Lonchura striata: one gene and its partner. The protein of the gene in region 2 purifies or fractionates together with the protein of the main gene of each other region. This does not show direct contact. Links are inferred from orthologs where the notes say so. Each region holds a gene or a part of one and is shown on either strand. Other genes may lie near its edges.

Region 1 (8,069 bases), on a different chromosome or scaffold from region 2:
GCTTTAAAATCTTAGGAGGACTGGCATTTTAGGCTTTGAAACTAGATGCACTGACACTGAATAAGAATTAGAGTTGTCTGTTTTTAACCACTGTCCCTGTGCCTTTATTGCCATCATGTGGCAGAAGCAGCAAGGTCTGAAAGGATATAGCTGAGAACAAACAGATTTTATCCAACCTATTTATAAGCACTTCAAGAAAGTGTCAAATACTTCCTTTGTAGATACACGCACATACATACAATATACATTCATCTAGAAACTATAACTCCACAGTTTAAATACAATTTCAATCCCCTCTAAAAAGCCACCTTAGCAAACAGTACTTGAGTCTTTATCACCCAAGCTTTGGGGAAAATGATTAAATGTAAACTGTCCCTGCTTTGATTGTCTCCTTTCTCCTCCCACCCCAAAATGCTCATTGTAGAAACCAGACTGCCAAAGGGAAGGTGGTTTCTGAGGGACACAAAATAATTATTCATAGTCACTGAATAGGAAAATGCTCTTAATGTTGGTGTGGTGTAGCCAGTGTTTAAAGTGAAGGGGAGGATGCTGATTTTAATGGCTGCCATCAGATCCTTTGATGCTTTTCATAATCAGGTGTTTTATCAGTAGCCTGAAGTGACCATCATTATTTACCTTACTCTAGTGCCTGGTACCCTATGCATTGTCACATTCTCTTGGACAGCTTATGTACGAGAGATCTGATTGAGAATAGATGATGTGCAGCTGCACAAAGTCTTGCAGCTTGACAGAACTAAGAGCTTACTCTAGTACCTTTCCTTATGGTCTTTTTTTTCCTTATATATATATACCTATGTGTACATCTCTCTCACCATGGCTTCTGTAATCCTAAAGCAGCAAGACCAGATTTTTCCACACAGAATTTCACTTCTCAGACCATAATGTCATTCAGAATTGCTAGTCTTAATTAAAGAATTTCTGACCTTAAATAAATGCTTACAAAAAACTTCCTATGCCTTAGCCTGTAGTTTACCACACAAAAGAAAGGTGTAGAGCAGCACACACCATGTCTCTGCCTTACTCCTACTCTAGGTCTTGAAATAAAACCCCAGCAACTTCAGGCTTCTCCAATAAACAGCTTAAAGTATCTGTTTCAGAAGGGAACTGATACCTAAGTGATATGCTGCTACTATTCAGCCCTAGACAGGGTCAGCAGAGAAGGGCACAGAGAGGTAACTTCCACACAGGACACTTCTCTCATTAGGCACTGCTGCTGCAGAAGCCACTAACAGACAGGTGAGCAGCGGCACAATATTGCTTTAGCTTCTGGTTGAGAGGAAAAGAATAAAACGTTTACCTAACTTACTGTCTTCTACATCTCTTCATTGCTATACAGTCCTACCACATATCACTTTTAATCAGCTCAGTGCCCTGGACTCTTCTATTTCAAAGCTGAAATATAACAGAAGTCATTAAGAACAGGGAGGGTTTGAAATGAGCAAAGATGGAGATGGCCACTATAGTTCAAAAGAAAACTACATTCAAAATCCATGTGCTGTTTACATAAAAGAAACACTTACTTTTTGACATCCAGAGAGCCATTTTCCTTGTTTTCCATGTCAACAGTTAGCATGGAGAGGATAGAAGTTTTACTTCAGCAACTGATCAATAGGGAGGAAAAAAAGAGCTGTGTTTAATAACTGGTAGTATGACCAGTGCAGTGTAATGTAACAAGCATTCTACAGGGACACATGCATGTTACACTTGAGAGCAACAGTGCTATTAAAGACTGGTTTCCTTGGAAGCCTGGCAAAGCTGATAGTAGCTAATGAATTAGAAAATAAAGTTGATCTGTGCTTCAAACACAAAAAATAATTCTTGCCTGAAAATCAAGGAAAGTAATACTACATTTAATCCTTTTCACAAGTGTTAAAATTGTATTCATATACATGGAGACTGACGCGCAATATATAGCTGTGTATCAAGAGAGCTTGATAGGCCTTCAGTCATCCTGTGATACAGAAGATCCAAACAAATGGGAGATCTTTGGAAAGGTCTGGAAATCCATAGCCTTGTTTTACAAATGTGGATTTGGATACAGATTAACATTTCACTTAAGCTCATTGTGCAAATAAAGCTGGTAAGGAGAGTTACTAATTGCGCCCCAAACTCCTGAGGCCTAAATCAGTATGTTGTCTATAAGACCTCCCTTCCTTCACTAGAGCAGCTTCTTCTACAGGTATGCTACACTGAACTCCAAAAAGGGAAGGAACACATGAAGGACACAGGAGAAAATCCAGTTCATTTCCTTCCTTGCAGCACACTGGAGTACTCGCACCACACAGCCTTTTTCCATCGCTCCACAGAACATGCAGAAATAACCCAAGCCTTTCCGTTCTGTTCTCAAGTAAGCCATTTCTATTTCAGAGAGCACCAGAGAACAGACCAAGGAGACACGGGATGTTCTTGCTGTAGCATTAATGGATGCCAGTGAAATGTCTCAAAGCTCTGGGATACAGAATAGGGAAATCATGCTCTTCAGCTAAAACTTTGCAAAAATAGAGAATAGCAATTAATATTGCTGTGGGGAAAAAAGAAAAAAAAAAAAAAAGATCTTTTATTATACACGCAGAAACGTGTAGAGCACCAAGAACATAGTAACAAACTGATCGAAAAGATGCTTCTTCCTGACCAAACAACTCCACGCATTCCCTGCAATCACTTCTCGGTTCACCTGAGGTGACTGCAGACGACACCCGCACCAGCCTACCTGCGGAACGCCCCGCGCCGCGGCCGCGCACGGCCCGGAGCCCCGGGCTCGGGCGGGCACCTCCCGCGGAGCCCGCGGGCCCGGGCAGCGGGGGCTCCCGGGGCTCCGCTTCCCGCGGCGGCGCCGGGGCTGTGACACGCGTTCAGCATCTCACGGGCAGCCCGAGCCCGCTCGCACTGCACCACATTGTCAGTTCTGACTGGGGGCGAGGGAAGCAAGGCAGAAAAACCTACCTACGAGCAACTAAGCCGGCGCATGGCTACCGGCTGCTGCGGAGCGGCGGAGCCCGCGGCCCCCGCCCCCCGGCGGCAGCGGGCGCTCCGCGGCGGCTCCGAGTGGCACCGGAGCGGCCCCGCCCGGCCCCGTGACGCGCCCGCACACGCGGCCCGCCCGCGTCATGGCCGCCGCGTTAAAGGCGCCGCAACGCGGGCCCGCGGGCCCCGCGGGAGGGCACCGCGGCCCCGGCGCTGCGGACGGCAGCGGGGCGGGCGCGGAGCGGGGCACGGCTCCCCCTCCTCCCTCCGCCGAGCGGCTCGCGGCTCGCCCCGCGGCGCTTACCTGCTGCGGAGCCGCGGGCAGCGCCGGGCCGGGGCCGGAGAGCAGCGCTCGGAGCTCGGTTCGTGACTTGAGGTTCTTGGGGCCTCCTTGTGGACATTTCTGCTCCTCCTAACAAGCGGGGTAACAGGTGACGGAAAGAAATCCTTAGTTGTTGAAGGATCCAGTACCAAGCCGAGGAAATTTTATACAAGGTAGGAAGTAGGAGTCGCCAGATGTTGGCAAATTGATAAAGTTACAAAAATTCCTTTCTAGAATGACACCTGGCTTTCTGTAGAACTCTTGCAACTTCAGGCTCGGGGTGATGGAAAAGAGGAGTGACCCAGGGCAGCGGAACCGAGTCACCGCCACTGTGCCCCCGCCGGCACTGGGGAGGCACTGAGCCTGCAGGTCTTACTCGTCTAAGCTCCAGACTTTATTTCACAAGGAAAGAAGGAATCAACTCAAAGAGCTTACAAATTACCAAGTGTCCCACTGGCAATTAAATCTCACCCACAGAATTTAATACAAAAGTTGTCAAGTTGTTCTGGCAACAAGACTTCTTTTTACGTTTTTTTTTTTTAATATTTTCAGTATTTTTGTAACTGCTGTTTTCTAATGGTGTATAGGCATTACCTAGATGCAGTGTCAGTGCAAGGGAAATCAAGCAAGAACTATCAACACACCCTGTTTCCCCACACACGGGCTTTGTAGCTGCAAAACTACAAAGAGCTGCAACCCAGACACTGACATGAGGCCAATGAAAAAGCACAACATGCTGATGCACTCAGAAAAAGTTACAGCCAGAAATGTGTCGACAAAACATAAGCAGAAATCTCAGCTATAAATCTCAAATATACTCAGATGCTGTGACTTTTTGATTATTCTTATCAGGCTGGGTTACTTCAAATTTGTGGGATGTTTTACTTGAAAAATTTCCTTCTGAGTCAAGCCACTCAAATGATGCTCCTGCTTTTTGCTGCAAGGCAAGTGGGACATTACAAATTACCTGGGGATTTGCACAGAACCTACTGATGACTCTGTCCTGATTTCTGCAGAGCTCTGGCACGAGTGCCCAGCTGGCAAAGACAGAGCCTGCTTTGCCACTAGAGTTGGTGCCTGGGGCTGTCCCGGGCACTTGCATCCATCTTACTCCCAGATAAAGTTTACTGTGCTCTGGCTGCATGGAGATGCAGGTCACCTACCTGCTAGCTGGACACAGTCACAAGCACTAACATTACCAGCAAAGTGGACTTTCGGGCAAAGGACTGTGGACACGACTTCCCAAACCACTCCATTTTGTCTTACTTATGTGTTGTTAGATAAATAACCAGAGTTTGCAGGAGCTTTGCAAGTAATGGCACTCAAATACTGACAGAAGCATTGAGAACAGAGAGGAGTAACAGTCCTCACTGCTTTGGGATTTAAATAAATGCAGAAAACAAAATAAATAAAAAATTAAGTGTACTGTGCCCTAAACAAAACCCTCTTTTCTTCCCATCCCAAAGTGTACTGTAAAACATGGCCTATTTGTGTTGGACAAGTGAGCCAAGCAAGGCAATTCTTTTCTGTCGCTAAAGAAATAAACATTCTAAATGAAGCCATAATGAGTTTTCTGCATCAGCTGGTTTCTAACTTTGGTAATGAACTGACATTTGAGGATACAAATATAAACGAGCTATTTTACTCATGCTCTCCCTTTCATCATGTTCTTCAGTTAATCCTTTGAGTATTCAAAGTGAGGCTCACACCATGCATGCATTCCTTCTAGAGGACCTTGAACAGCAAAGAGGAATTTTAAGGAAACGGATTATGGAAAAATTCAGTGTAGAATATGATCTGTGGCTTTTATTTTCATTTACTGGGGTAAGGTAATTTAATTATAATGAAATTACATCTGGAGGCAGATAAAGCAGAAAAGTGAATTAGCCTTTTGTTTAACTATTTGCATCCCACTTGTGGCCAAAAAAAAAAAAAAAAAAGTTTCCAAGCCATGGAGGGAACTAAATGAGACCAGGGTTGGTAGATCCAGTGTCTGTCTGTGTGTGTCTTAACTTCTGCTGTCACAAGAGAGGAAACACGCAAAGGTCAGCACAGGTGTCAGACACCAGGGGAACCTGTTTTCTGGGTATTGAAAAATGCCAGTTTCCTCCTGCAAACCTGTCCTTTTGTTTCGTCCCTGGCAGTTAAAGAGTATTAGGCAAAATGCACAGCACATGGGGCAGAGGAGAGCGTAGCACCCTGCTAGCTGTGCAGAGTGTACTGAATTTCAGCTCCTCAGGGCTAAATAAAGCCCTTTGAGCCCTCCTTATTCCAGTGCCCCGAGTAAAGAAACCACGGTTAAACACAGGCATTGGGGAAGCTGAGTGAGAAGGTAACACAGGCCCTGTGCGGTGTCCCACTGAGGGAAGGCCCTCCATAAGGTGGCATTGTGCAGAGTAGAAGGGGCCTAGCCCTGTGTAAAACGCGCGTTCCTTCCCACAAGGACCGAAGGCCCCGAGCCCCCGGGCCGGGGAAAGCCCAGCGCCCTCAGCGCGCCGCGGGGGCTGCTGGGAGTTGTAGTCCCGCCGGCCCGCCCCGGGCGCTGTTTGCTGCTCCTTCTCTGGCGCTTCAGGGACACATTTCGGGGCTGGCCGCGATCGTTTGTGTTTCTGTTGCTCATTGTGAGGAAGAAAGTAAACAAGGAGATTTCATCCAGATATGGCCGGCAGCCAAAAAAAATCATCAATTCCTTGTAAAACCCAGCACTTGGCAGCATGGGAATCCAATGGGGGCACCGGCTGTTTCTAAGTAACTTTTGTCATGAGTGTAGAAGGGACATGGGTGTAAGACACAGGTTGCCCAGCAGACTGAATTAATGTCCAGTCAATTCCTAACAGTCTAAAAATCCCTTTTGCACCATGTCCCTCCTTGCAAAACAAGCCCGAAACAGGACCGTGCAGGCCATTGTTTGATCTCCTGGCATCCCAGCCAAGCCCTGCACAAGCCCATTCGCACCCAGCGCTGGCTGGGGCCCACGAGGAATCTCAGCCCACTCTGCCTGGCAGAAAGGCTCTGTCCAGCTCCTCTTTGCTGAGGACTAAGACATTTTAATCTACAATTTAAAAACATATATAAATAGTTTATACCTGTTTGTTCCTGTAGTAATAACTTTTAGTTTAATATTGTTTAGTGTAATATTTGACTTCTCTGTTTCTCTGGTATTTACATTCTCATATAGACTCAAACATCTGAATGACCACAGCCCTTTTGTGGTCTGTATTTTCTGATCTTGTTCCCCTTTCTCCCTTCTGTAAATTCACCTTCCAGGAGAGGACCCTGGAGCTGCACCCTGGGCTGCACTAGGGTCTTGGCAGTACCTTCTCCCTTTCCAGTCTGTTCTGAATGGTCCCTTACTCCACACTACACTTTTATCACACCTATATGGTACTGATGATTTGAGACATCCCAAGGGTCTTTTCCATAGCTCCTGGCAGCTCCTGTCTACCCAGAAAGAGGAAAAATCCCCGTTTCTGGTCCAGTTGCACCTTATCAGCACTGCACTCTCAGAAAACTGTCTTTCCTCTCTTAAGGGCTTTTCCACCCCTATCCATAGTATTTTTAGTTTGCTTGAATGGAATTTTGCCGCTTATCTTTCTCCACAGTATCAACAGCTTAATACCTGTTGTCCTGCTGTCCCTTCCCTACTTCAGCACTCCACAGAGGAATGAGAGACAGTTCCCAGCCCATGGAGTCCTGCAATGAAACGCCTCTCTTCAGTTCCCTCTTGGCCAGGAAGGTCCTCCAAAAATCATGCTGTGTCTTCTTCACAGTCCCCTTCTGACCTGCCAGGGTGTTCTGCATGGCTGGGTATTGTGAAATTGCTCTGAAGTTCTGATAAAGCCTAGACAAAAGCCTAAAGATTGCAGTGGTGCTAAGCAAGTGAGGAGGGAAGGGAGGCAGAAAACGCATGGCCAGAATGTAGCAGAGTGCCTTGGTACAGCCTGGCATTCATTTTCAAGGCAGTGTGTTAAACCATGTGTGTTAAACACCAAATCACAGCACAGCAGCCACTGGCCTGAATTTACCTTCCATACAGTTCCCTGGGTTCTCTCCTACAAGGTAAAGAATAGGTTGGTAGATGTGCACAACCTTTTGTGAAAGCTCTGGCTGCCAGGCTGAGGGGAGCAGCACTGCTCAGACTCACTGACCACACAGCGGGGCAAACACCTGGCTTTTGTTCTGCTGGGGAGGGCCTGAAACCTTTGCTTTAGTATCCTGAGGTACTTTTGATACAATATGCATTACCTGACCTTTTTCTCATAATCACATGAATCTCCAGTAAGATGACTAGAGTAGCACCCTCTTCATACCAGCAGCTGACTGCAAGGCAAGGCCAGTGATACCTCTGTGCTTTTGCTTCCTCTTTTTTCCAAGACTGAATTGCTTAAATAAATCTTCCTGTACCTGAATTATATCCACTTCACTGAGAATTTCCTGCCCTACTTATTTTTTTGTGCAACTCCTTATTGTGCTAGTTGCTCATATTTAATAAACCTTCTATCTAGACTTAAACCTTTGTCATTTTAAAGCTTATACTTCATATTAAAAAATCACTGTATAAAACACAGCTCATTGTCCCAATACAAACAGTAATATCTGCCACTTGCCCAGCTTGTAATAATGTAGCAAGAAGCTTATAAAAAGTATTCCTATGAAATACTAACACTGTTAACAGGAATACAGCCTGATAAAAACATTTTATATAAACATGGCTCAGACATCTCAGTGAAATGGCTACTACCTCTCTCAGAAATCTAAAATG
Region 2 (7,745 bases):
ACTTTGTGCATATTAAAAATACAGCCTTAGCTCTCAGAGTGACTACTAGCTTTTGGATGACAGGTCTGGAGTATCCAGCCTGAACAGACTGTCCAAAGTAATGCTTTGCTGCAAGGCTGTTATAATCTTATGCACAGTTGGAGTCAAAGTCTTCTACTATGGGAAATGATAATGGTCCTCATATGCAGAGTGTGCCCACATACCTTAGGAAAGAGCATGCATGAATACAGTTCTGTGCCAAAACAAGCCATGGTGGTTACCCTCTTACCCACTCATAACCACGATATTACTCATTATTATCCCTTAAAACTACATCTAGGAAAGTCCATTTTTAAAGACTGCAAATCTCCTGTTACTTCCAGCCTTGCCCAGCACAGGCTTCCTCCTCCCCCTTTCTCTTCTTGACCCACTTACACTTTGCCCCTTTCCATACCACTTGTCCTCCTCTGTGGTGTGTCTCTTTTCTTACTACCCCCTCCTTTCCTCTCCCTCAGGACCTTTGTTCTTACCCATTTCTTTGGGCCTATCATCCATTCCAGACCACACATCCCTGTTGTGTCTTCATACCTCTTGTCTCTGGGGCCACTTCCTCCTTGCTTCCTTCAACTCATTTAAGATCTGCCATTGCTCCAAGCTCTCCTCTAATGTCCAACTCACATGTCCAAGCTTCTAACTTCAGCCTTCTTCTGGTTCAGGAGTCCTCATCAATATTCCTAATTTTCATTGGACTCATGCTTGCAAATTACTTTTTCTGTTTTTACAACTCATTATTCTGGTCCAATGCTCCCCAAACCCTTAATATGTAACATGGCTCTGGATTCATTCCTGAACTGACAAACCCATAACTTCCCTATCTGCCTTTGAATTTCTTTAGGATGAAGACCAACTCCGGAAAGCTCTGTAGTCTTGCAACTTTGTGAAAGCAGGAATTTTCAAAGGCTTCATCAATAGCTTCAGAAACAAGTTCTCCCAGGTTGCACTACACCTACATCCAAAGCAGGTTGGGCTGAAATGTCTTTGGAAAATACTGCAGTTCCTTTCAAGTACTCATGCTCAAGTGTTCTTCCCAGAAAAAAAAAAAGGCTGTTTCCTACCCAAGTCTCACTGTGGTAGGGAGTTAGGATCCAGTCAGGCAGGCACACAGATCTGAAAACTAGGAGGTATTACTGGCTCTCCAGTTTAGCATGACATTTGTATCAACTTTGATAAATATTCCAGGATGAGTGGCAGAAACAGTTGATTCCATTGATAATAAGTCAAGTTGTGGACATCAGTGTGGACATCAAATTCTCTGGACAGGGAGACAGTACTATTGAGAGGATTCAGCATGGACTGCAATATGCTCGCTTCAATTGGTAAATAACCACATATACATTCTCTCTTCATTCTCAACTTCTTAAAGCTTTAAGACTTCCATTTTCCTGGCTTAGAGCTTTACATAATATTACAATATATTTTTTTTCCCCAGTGATTGCCCTCAAACCCTCTTTCCTGTCCTCCAGGTTGGGGAAGAATCACATGACAGACTGATAACCGTCACTGGTGAGAAAGGTCACACAATGAGCTGCACAGGTTATTAGAAGTGTGATAAAAAGTCCCATACAGGCTATTTTTGATTAATAAGGCCATCTTTAAGGCATGTTAATCATAGAAATCAAGATCCTGGAAATGTCAAATTTTTTGGTAAAATGTAAATATGGATTCTCTTTTTCTCGGTTTATGTAGATACTTCCTGAGGAGCCATTAGATCACACAAACCCAATATGCAAACTGAATGGATAATGTACATTACTTTACTCTCATCCCCTTAAATGGTACTCAAGATTTGGATTTTGGAAGCCATGTAGATGGATGTTCATGCACATGCCCTTATAAAAATAATCAGTATTTGGCTACAGCACAAACACCTATTCAACGAGTTACAAGAATACTCAGAGAGAGATCAAATTTAGCTACTCCAAAATCTGTCATTAAACATACTGCCAAAATCATATTAAATGCCATACTTACATATAGAAAACAAGTGTTTGAAATTCTCTGCCTTTGGAATGCAGATGGAATTCTAGTATTAAATAAAATGGCAACAGAACTAATGTTTAAAGAGCATATGTGAATAATGTTTAATCTATTTTTATCCAATAAATTTTTATTGACAAAATAATGGGTTTATTATACATCATGAGCTGACACACTATGATTAGGGCAAGGATCGAAGAAGAGACAGAGAACAGAAGGTACCTTTATTAATTTCATATGTCCTTTTATTTTAATCAAAGTGTTATCAATTTGATTCATAAGGCAGCTATGTGCTGTTTCAAATCCTTGGTTTCAGTTACAGCTTCCAATATACATCCTTCATGGAGGTTTTTTTTCTGTAAGGGGCTACCCTCTTATAGTCACACATATGAATATGTTTCCCTTTAAGATTTTCAGAGGAAAGGGACAAAGTCTTTCAAGCATAAATAAAATAATGGCAGATAACTAGTTCAGTTGTACTCTTAGAAATGTATCTTCTTAGCAGGGTATGTTATACCATCCCCCAAAACATCAATATCATCTGGAGAATAATCAGTACAGGTCAAGCATCCTAAAGAGTTTGAAAGTACACCAAATTGCACCATTCTTTGAGTATCTTCTGCAGAGCCCAGCTAATTTAATGCTACAATAGAATAATCTAGTTCTTTGGCAACTGTTTGACTTAAAACATTTCAACAACATTGAACATTGGGAACATTGGGAAATAATTTTAAAAAAAGCGCTGAATGACTTCTGTTACAGTTTATTCTTTGTTTCTAACACATAAATTTCCTCAAGTAAGAGCTCACTGGTGGAAAGTAAGAATTTTCTCATCCACTATTTTTTGCATCTGTGTTTTAGAAGAGTTAAAATACATGTTATCACTAATTATTACAATTAGGTTAATACTGTTTTCTGTAATTAATTTCTAATGAACATATGTTTATTGATGAAAACTGCATCCTATATGCAATGCCATTTGAGCTGAAGGGGTGTTTTATCATCATTGCTCATAATAAAACAACTATAATGTATTTTGCTTAGGCACCAATTCTGTAAATACTTAATTATGAGCCCCTTTTTACTGCTGTGAAAAAAAATCATTTAAATAGACAGAAACTGTCAAGATAGTAGGGCAAAAGCCTGATTGTCTGAACTGTTTGAACATGGGCATAGTTTAAGGGAGCGGAGTTGTCAAGCTCGGTTCTTAAATATTTTAATACACGTTCTGAAAGTAAATTCTCTACTGAGCAGAAGCTGAGGCTAGGAAGTCTTATCAGAGATGGAGCATCTCTATCTTGTGTCCAGTGCAACGCTGTCCCCATCATGGGGATCAGAGGGTAATACAGTATGCATCCATAATACCTAAAAAGGTTGTACTTAGTCTTGTCATTTGTATTTATTTCTATTGATATTCAGCTAATACCTATTACTGGCTGACTATTAGTATTTATCATTATTTCTGTTCTAGTAATTTTGGCCAAAGTTGGAAGTGTAGTTTTAGAAGGGAGCATATATAAAAGCAAGACAAAGCATGGTCATTGATCACTACTGGGATTAACAAAAGATGTATTGAGATTTGAGAGTTATTTTAAGAGATATATAATAATATGCCAAACTATCAAAAATTCAGAATTTACTTTGTCAGTTTTTGTCTTCAGGACAGAAGTACTTTAGGGAGATGCTGTGTGGTCTGAAAAAAAATTTAGGATTAGTATAATGAAGATTGTGTTCTGTGTTCTTTTATACTTTGCCTCAAACTGCATACATAGATGTATATACAGTTTTAAAAGTATCATATTTACATCTGATCACAATCCTCCATCCTCCCTCTTTCCCAGTACACTTAGGCCTCATACAGGTCTGTGCTGTGTAATGTTCTTCTCCAAACAGTTATCCTTGCAGGTGAAGTTCATCCTGGGCATTCCCATGAAGCAACAAGGGCCATCAGTTTTCACTGTTTTCTGAACGAGGGACAGAAAATAAATGAAGATGTTATTTGTCTTTAGGAATACAGGGCACCGATGGAGAGTATTCAAGAAGGTGGCACATCTGAGACTAGTTTTATTTGGTGAGCTGGCTAGGTTGTAAACCAGATGAGGCCCATCACAAGGAATGTGTCCATACCGCAGGCACCCCATATTTCGGGAGCGCAGGAGGAGCCTGGCTCCGCGCTGCCTGGCTTCTGACCATCTCCTCGAGGATGCCCTCGCCGGCCGCGGCGGAGGGCAGCCCCTCTCCCGCAGGACCCGCTCTTTCCTTACTGGTGCCCAGCTGTTCTGCCTCTGCCCCAGGTCTGTTCTGCGCAGAGGAGCCACAGACAGGCTTTCCCCGGTTCCCCGGCGCCCACCACCCAACCTTAGCAGGACCTGGCAGGACCCCCGAGGACCGGACCTCCCCCTCCCCGAAAAGTGCAAGGCGTTATTTTTGAAAGCGCCCAAAATAGCGCGCGACTGCTGCACAAGTCTCCTTATTATTCCTCCAGCGTCGGCAGTAAATCAGGGGGAGGATGCACCTCCGCCGGAGCCCTCGTCGGCAGCCGCGTTTTCGGCGAGGGCGATGCCCGCCGCCGCTGGCGGCTGCCGGGTGCCGGCCGCGGGCGGCCGGGGCGCAGCGGCAGCGCAGGCGAGGGAGGAAGAGGAGCCGCGGCGGCGGCGGCGGCGGCAGTTTCCCCTTTCCCCAGCCCTGGCTCCGCGGGCGCATGCTCACTGTGCCCGCAGCCCTGGACCATATTTGTCAGGACTACTCGAGAGACGGAGAAAGAGAGAATTTGGGGGGGTAAGGAGCGGCGGGTTCCGATCTGATCCGCAAGCCGTTTAGGGAGCCGCGATGGCAAAGGCTGGTGACGGGTTTTAATTTTCCCCCTAGGTGAGGATGAAAGTTAGAGAGAGCCTGAGAGATAAAGGGAGAGACGCACCTCCTCTCCCTCCCTTACGAAACGTATCTGGGGAAGGGGAGGGGGGCTTCTCCCCGACCACCTCGAGCAGAAAGGATGGAAGTTAATGCCGGGTAAAGTGGGCAAGTGACTCGCAAGTGGCTGGGGAGCGGCCGGGGCACCGGGGATCTCACTAAATCATAAGTGTACGAGTGTGAAAGAGGAACAAAAGAAAGAGAGAGGTGCCTGGTATTTCTTTTTCTCTTCCCAAACACATGAAGGGAGTACATGTATATATATATGCGCTGTATATTTATATACATACACAGGCACGCACGCACGTATGTGTATGTACATATATATATACACGGGGGAGGGAGCTGTGGAAATGTGTTTGTGGGGGCCCTTCTTTTTTTTTTTGGGGGGGGGGGAGTGGGTTCCAAAGGGAGGGGGAAGGGAAGGGGAGAGACATTTTGCAGACTTGCCCCACCAATGAGCTTGTCAGTTGGCTGCATTTAATGACACTTACGGGGCACCGCCGTGCTGTTGGGAACAATGTGATGCGGGTGCCGCGGCCGGGCGGCGGGGGGAGAAGGTGGGGGGGCACGGGTGTGCATGTGAGCGCCGGGCGGGGAGGGAGCGGAGCGGAGGGAGGGGGCTCGCTGCCACCCGAGCCCCCCCTCCGCAGCCCCGGCTCTTTGTTCGCACAGGCTGAAGGACGGGGAGAAGTGCGGGCTGCGAGGGGGCAATGCGCAGCGGAGAGGGGTGCGAAAAAGGGTTTTTTGGTCGGAAGCGGCGAGAGGTGGCGGCTGCCGGGATATACCGGTTGAATGTGCCGTGGGTCCCCGTGTGCGAAGGCCTCTACCAGCGCGCAGCAGAGAGTTTGTATTTTCCGTCGCTCCTGCACTTTGTGTGATTGTGTGCGAGAGATATTTAAAATATAACCATCTCCCAATTTCCGCCATTTTGGGGAAAGTTTGCACACACATACACATACAAAAAAAAAAAAAAAAAAAAAGGCAAGCTTGTAGCAATTTTTTTTTTTTTTTAAGAGACGAAAAAAAAAGTCTTTTGCTCGAGTGCTCAGTTCCTGCCTCTGTGCGGTGCGTGCGCCGCGCTCGCTGCGGCAGACATGTGAGGCGGCGGGGGAACGGCCCCTGCCCGCTTCGGGCTGCGTGCGGCGGCGGGGGCCGGCGCCTGTCACCGCCGCCGGCTCCGCGGGCCGGCCTCGAGGGGCTGCCGGGGGCTGGCCCCGGGGTGCCGGCGGTGTGAGTGAGCGCACATACACGTGAGTGCGTATTTTGCCGACGACGGGGGCAGGGAGCGGGGGGGGCAGGCAGGGGCAAGGAATAGGACGCGGCTTTTCTGTTAAGTTGCGCGCTCTCGCCTGAAGTGCGGCCGGGGTGGGGGAGCGGCCCCCCGCGCACACGCCCGTCTCTCCCTCCCCGTCTCCGCAGCCGGTGCATATAACAACAGGATATAGGCACACTTGTTCTCGCTAGCGCGTGTGGGGCGGTGTTTTTTCGGTGGGGGGGGGGGGGGGGGCGGAAAGCGATTTTTTTTTTCGGAGGGGGGGAGGGAGCGGCGGCCGACGGGAAGGCGCTCCCGCGGAGCGGCCGCCCGCCCCCGGCCGGGGCTTCGGAGAGGCTGCCGGGGCTAGAGCGCCCGGGGCGGGGGGCGCCGCGTCGGGGCCGCAGCGGCGCTCGCTCCCCACCCCCTTGGTTTTCCCCCCTCCCCGTCGGAGCGGGCGCACGCGAGAGCGTGAGAGAAAAAGTTGCAGCGCGGGGCCGGGCGCTGGCGGCTGCGGGGCCGGGCGGGGGCGAGCCCTCCGGGGAGGCGGCGTGTGCCGGCCCCTCCCGCGGGAAGGGGTGACTTCTCTGCCGAGGGATGCCCGGACATCGCCTGCGAGCGGCCGAGTAGCGAGTCCCCGCAGCCCCCTAGAAAAAAGAGAGCTCGCCCCCCTCCTCCTCCTCCTTTTCCTCCGCGCTGGGGGAGGGGAGGAGGGAGGAGAAGGTAACATTTTTTAAAATTTTTTTTCCTTTCACTCGGAGGCAACCTCCTTTTCCCGGATCCCGGTCCCGGGGGGTGGAGGCGAAAGGGGGGGGGGGGCGGGAAGGAAAAAAAAAAAAAGCGAGGGACCCGGTAAACAAGCAGAGTCCCTCTCTCGTTGTGCAACTTCCTCAGGAACACTTAACACCCAGTTCCTCTCCCACCCCCGCCCGCACCTCGCTCGCCCCCACCGCCGCCCCCTCGCCGGGGCAGGGGGGCACTCTTCCCCCGCTCGGTTTAATTGCCCGGGGCGGGGGCGAAGGATAAAAAGGCAAATTCGGGAGGGAAACGGAGACACTCGAGAACCGCTTTCCCCGAGCGCTCCTCCCGAGGAGCGGGGCGGGCGCTTTTGTCTCGGCGGTTCTGCCCGAGCCTGGGGAAGACGCGGACCTGAGCCCGGGTTTTCTCCAGAAAGTTTCAAGTGCAGCAAAAACACGCCGCAAAACTGGCCAAGGAGGGACCTCTGCTGGTAGGCCGCGGGCTGCCGGCGCGGGGAGCGGCGGCCGCGCCCGCCGGGCCTCGCCGCAGCGTTCCGGCCGCCGCCGCGCTCCGCCGCGCCGGGCGGGGAGCGGCGCGGGCGGCTCCGGGCGGGCGCTGCCGGGACCGCCGGGGCACGGCCTGCGCGGGAGCGGCGCGGGGCGCGCTCTGCGGCCGTGCCGCTTGTCCCGTTCCGGAGCGCGGCTCGAGCCCCCGGGGTTTTTCGGCTTGAGGAGCGGTGCGCGCGTTGCGAGGCCCCTGGAGATGCGGCAGCTTCCCCCGGGGCGTGAGGGTCACGGCCTCTTCCATGTCTTTTAATTACCTGTGC

The links.
Region 1: the proteins of L3MBTL3 (region 2) and SAMD13 purify together in Homo sapiens (affinity purification with mass spectrometry; 3 studies listed by BioGRID and IntAct, counting the BioPlex papers as one, with this or other methods). This does not show direct contact. The link is inferred for Lonchura striata from reciprocal best matches to the Homo sapiens genes L3MBTL3 and SAMD13.

The regions. Positions count from the first base shown.
Region 1 is NC_134611.1:18,037,869-18,045,937, reverse strand, and holds the start of SAMD13 (sterile alpha motif domain-containing protein 13), read right to left. Parts: upstream 3,069-8,069; 5' UTR 2,965-3,068; intron 1,623-2,964; 5' UTR 1,595-1,622; coding exon 1,542-1,594; intron 1-1,541.
Region 2 is NC_134605.1:60,466,967-60,474,711, reverse strand, and holds the start of L3MBTL3 (lethal(3)malignant brain tumor-like protein 3), read left to right. Parts: upstream 1-4,717; coding exon 4,718-4,794; intron 4,795-4,999; exon of another isoform or gene 5,000-5,008; coding exon of another isoform or gene 5,009-5,025; intron 5,026-5,063; exon of another isoform or gene 5,064-5,133; intron 5,134-6,096; exon of another isoform or gene 6,097-6,179; intron 6,180-7,745. UniProt on the Homo sapiens protein: Is a negative regulator of Notch target genes expression, required for RBPJ-mediated transcriptional repression. It recruits KDM1A to Notch-responsive elements and promotes KDM1A-mediated H3K4me demethylation.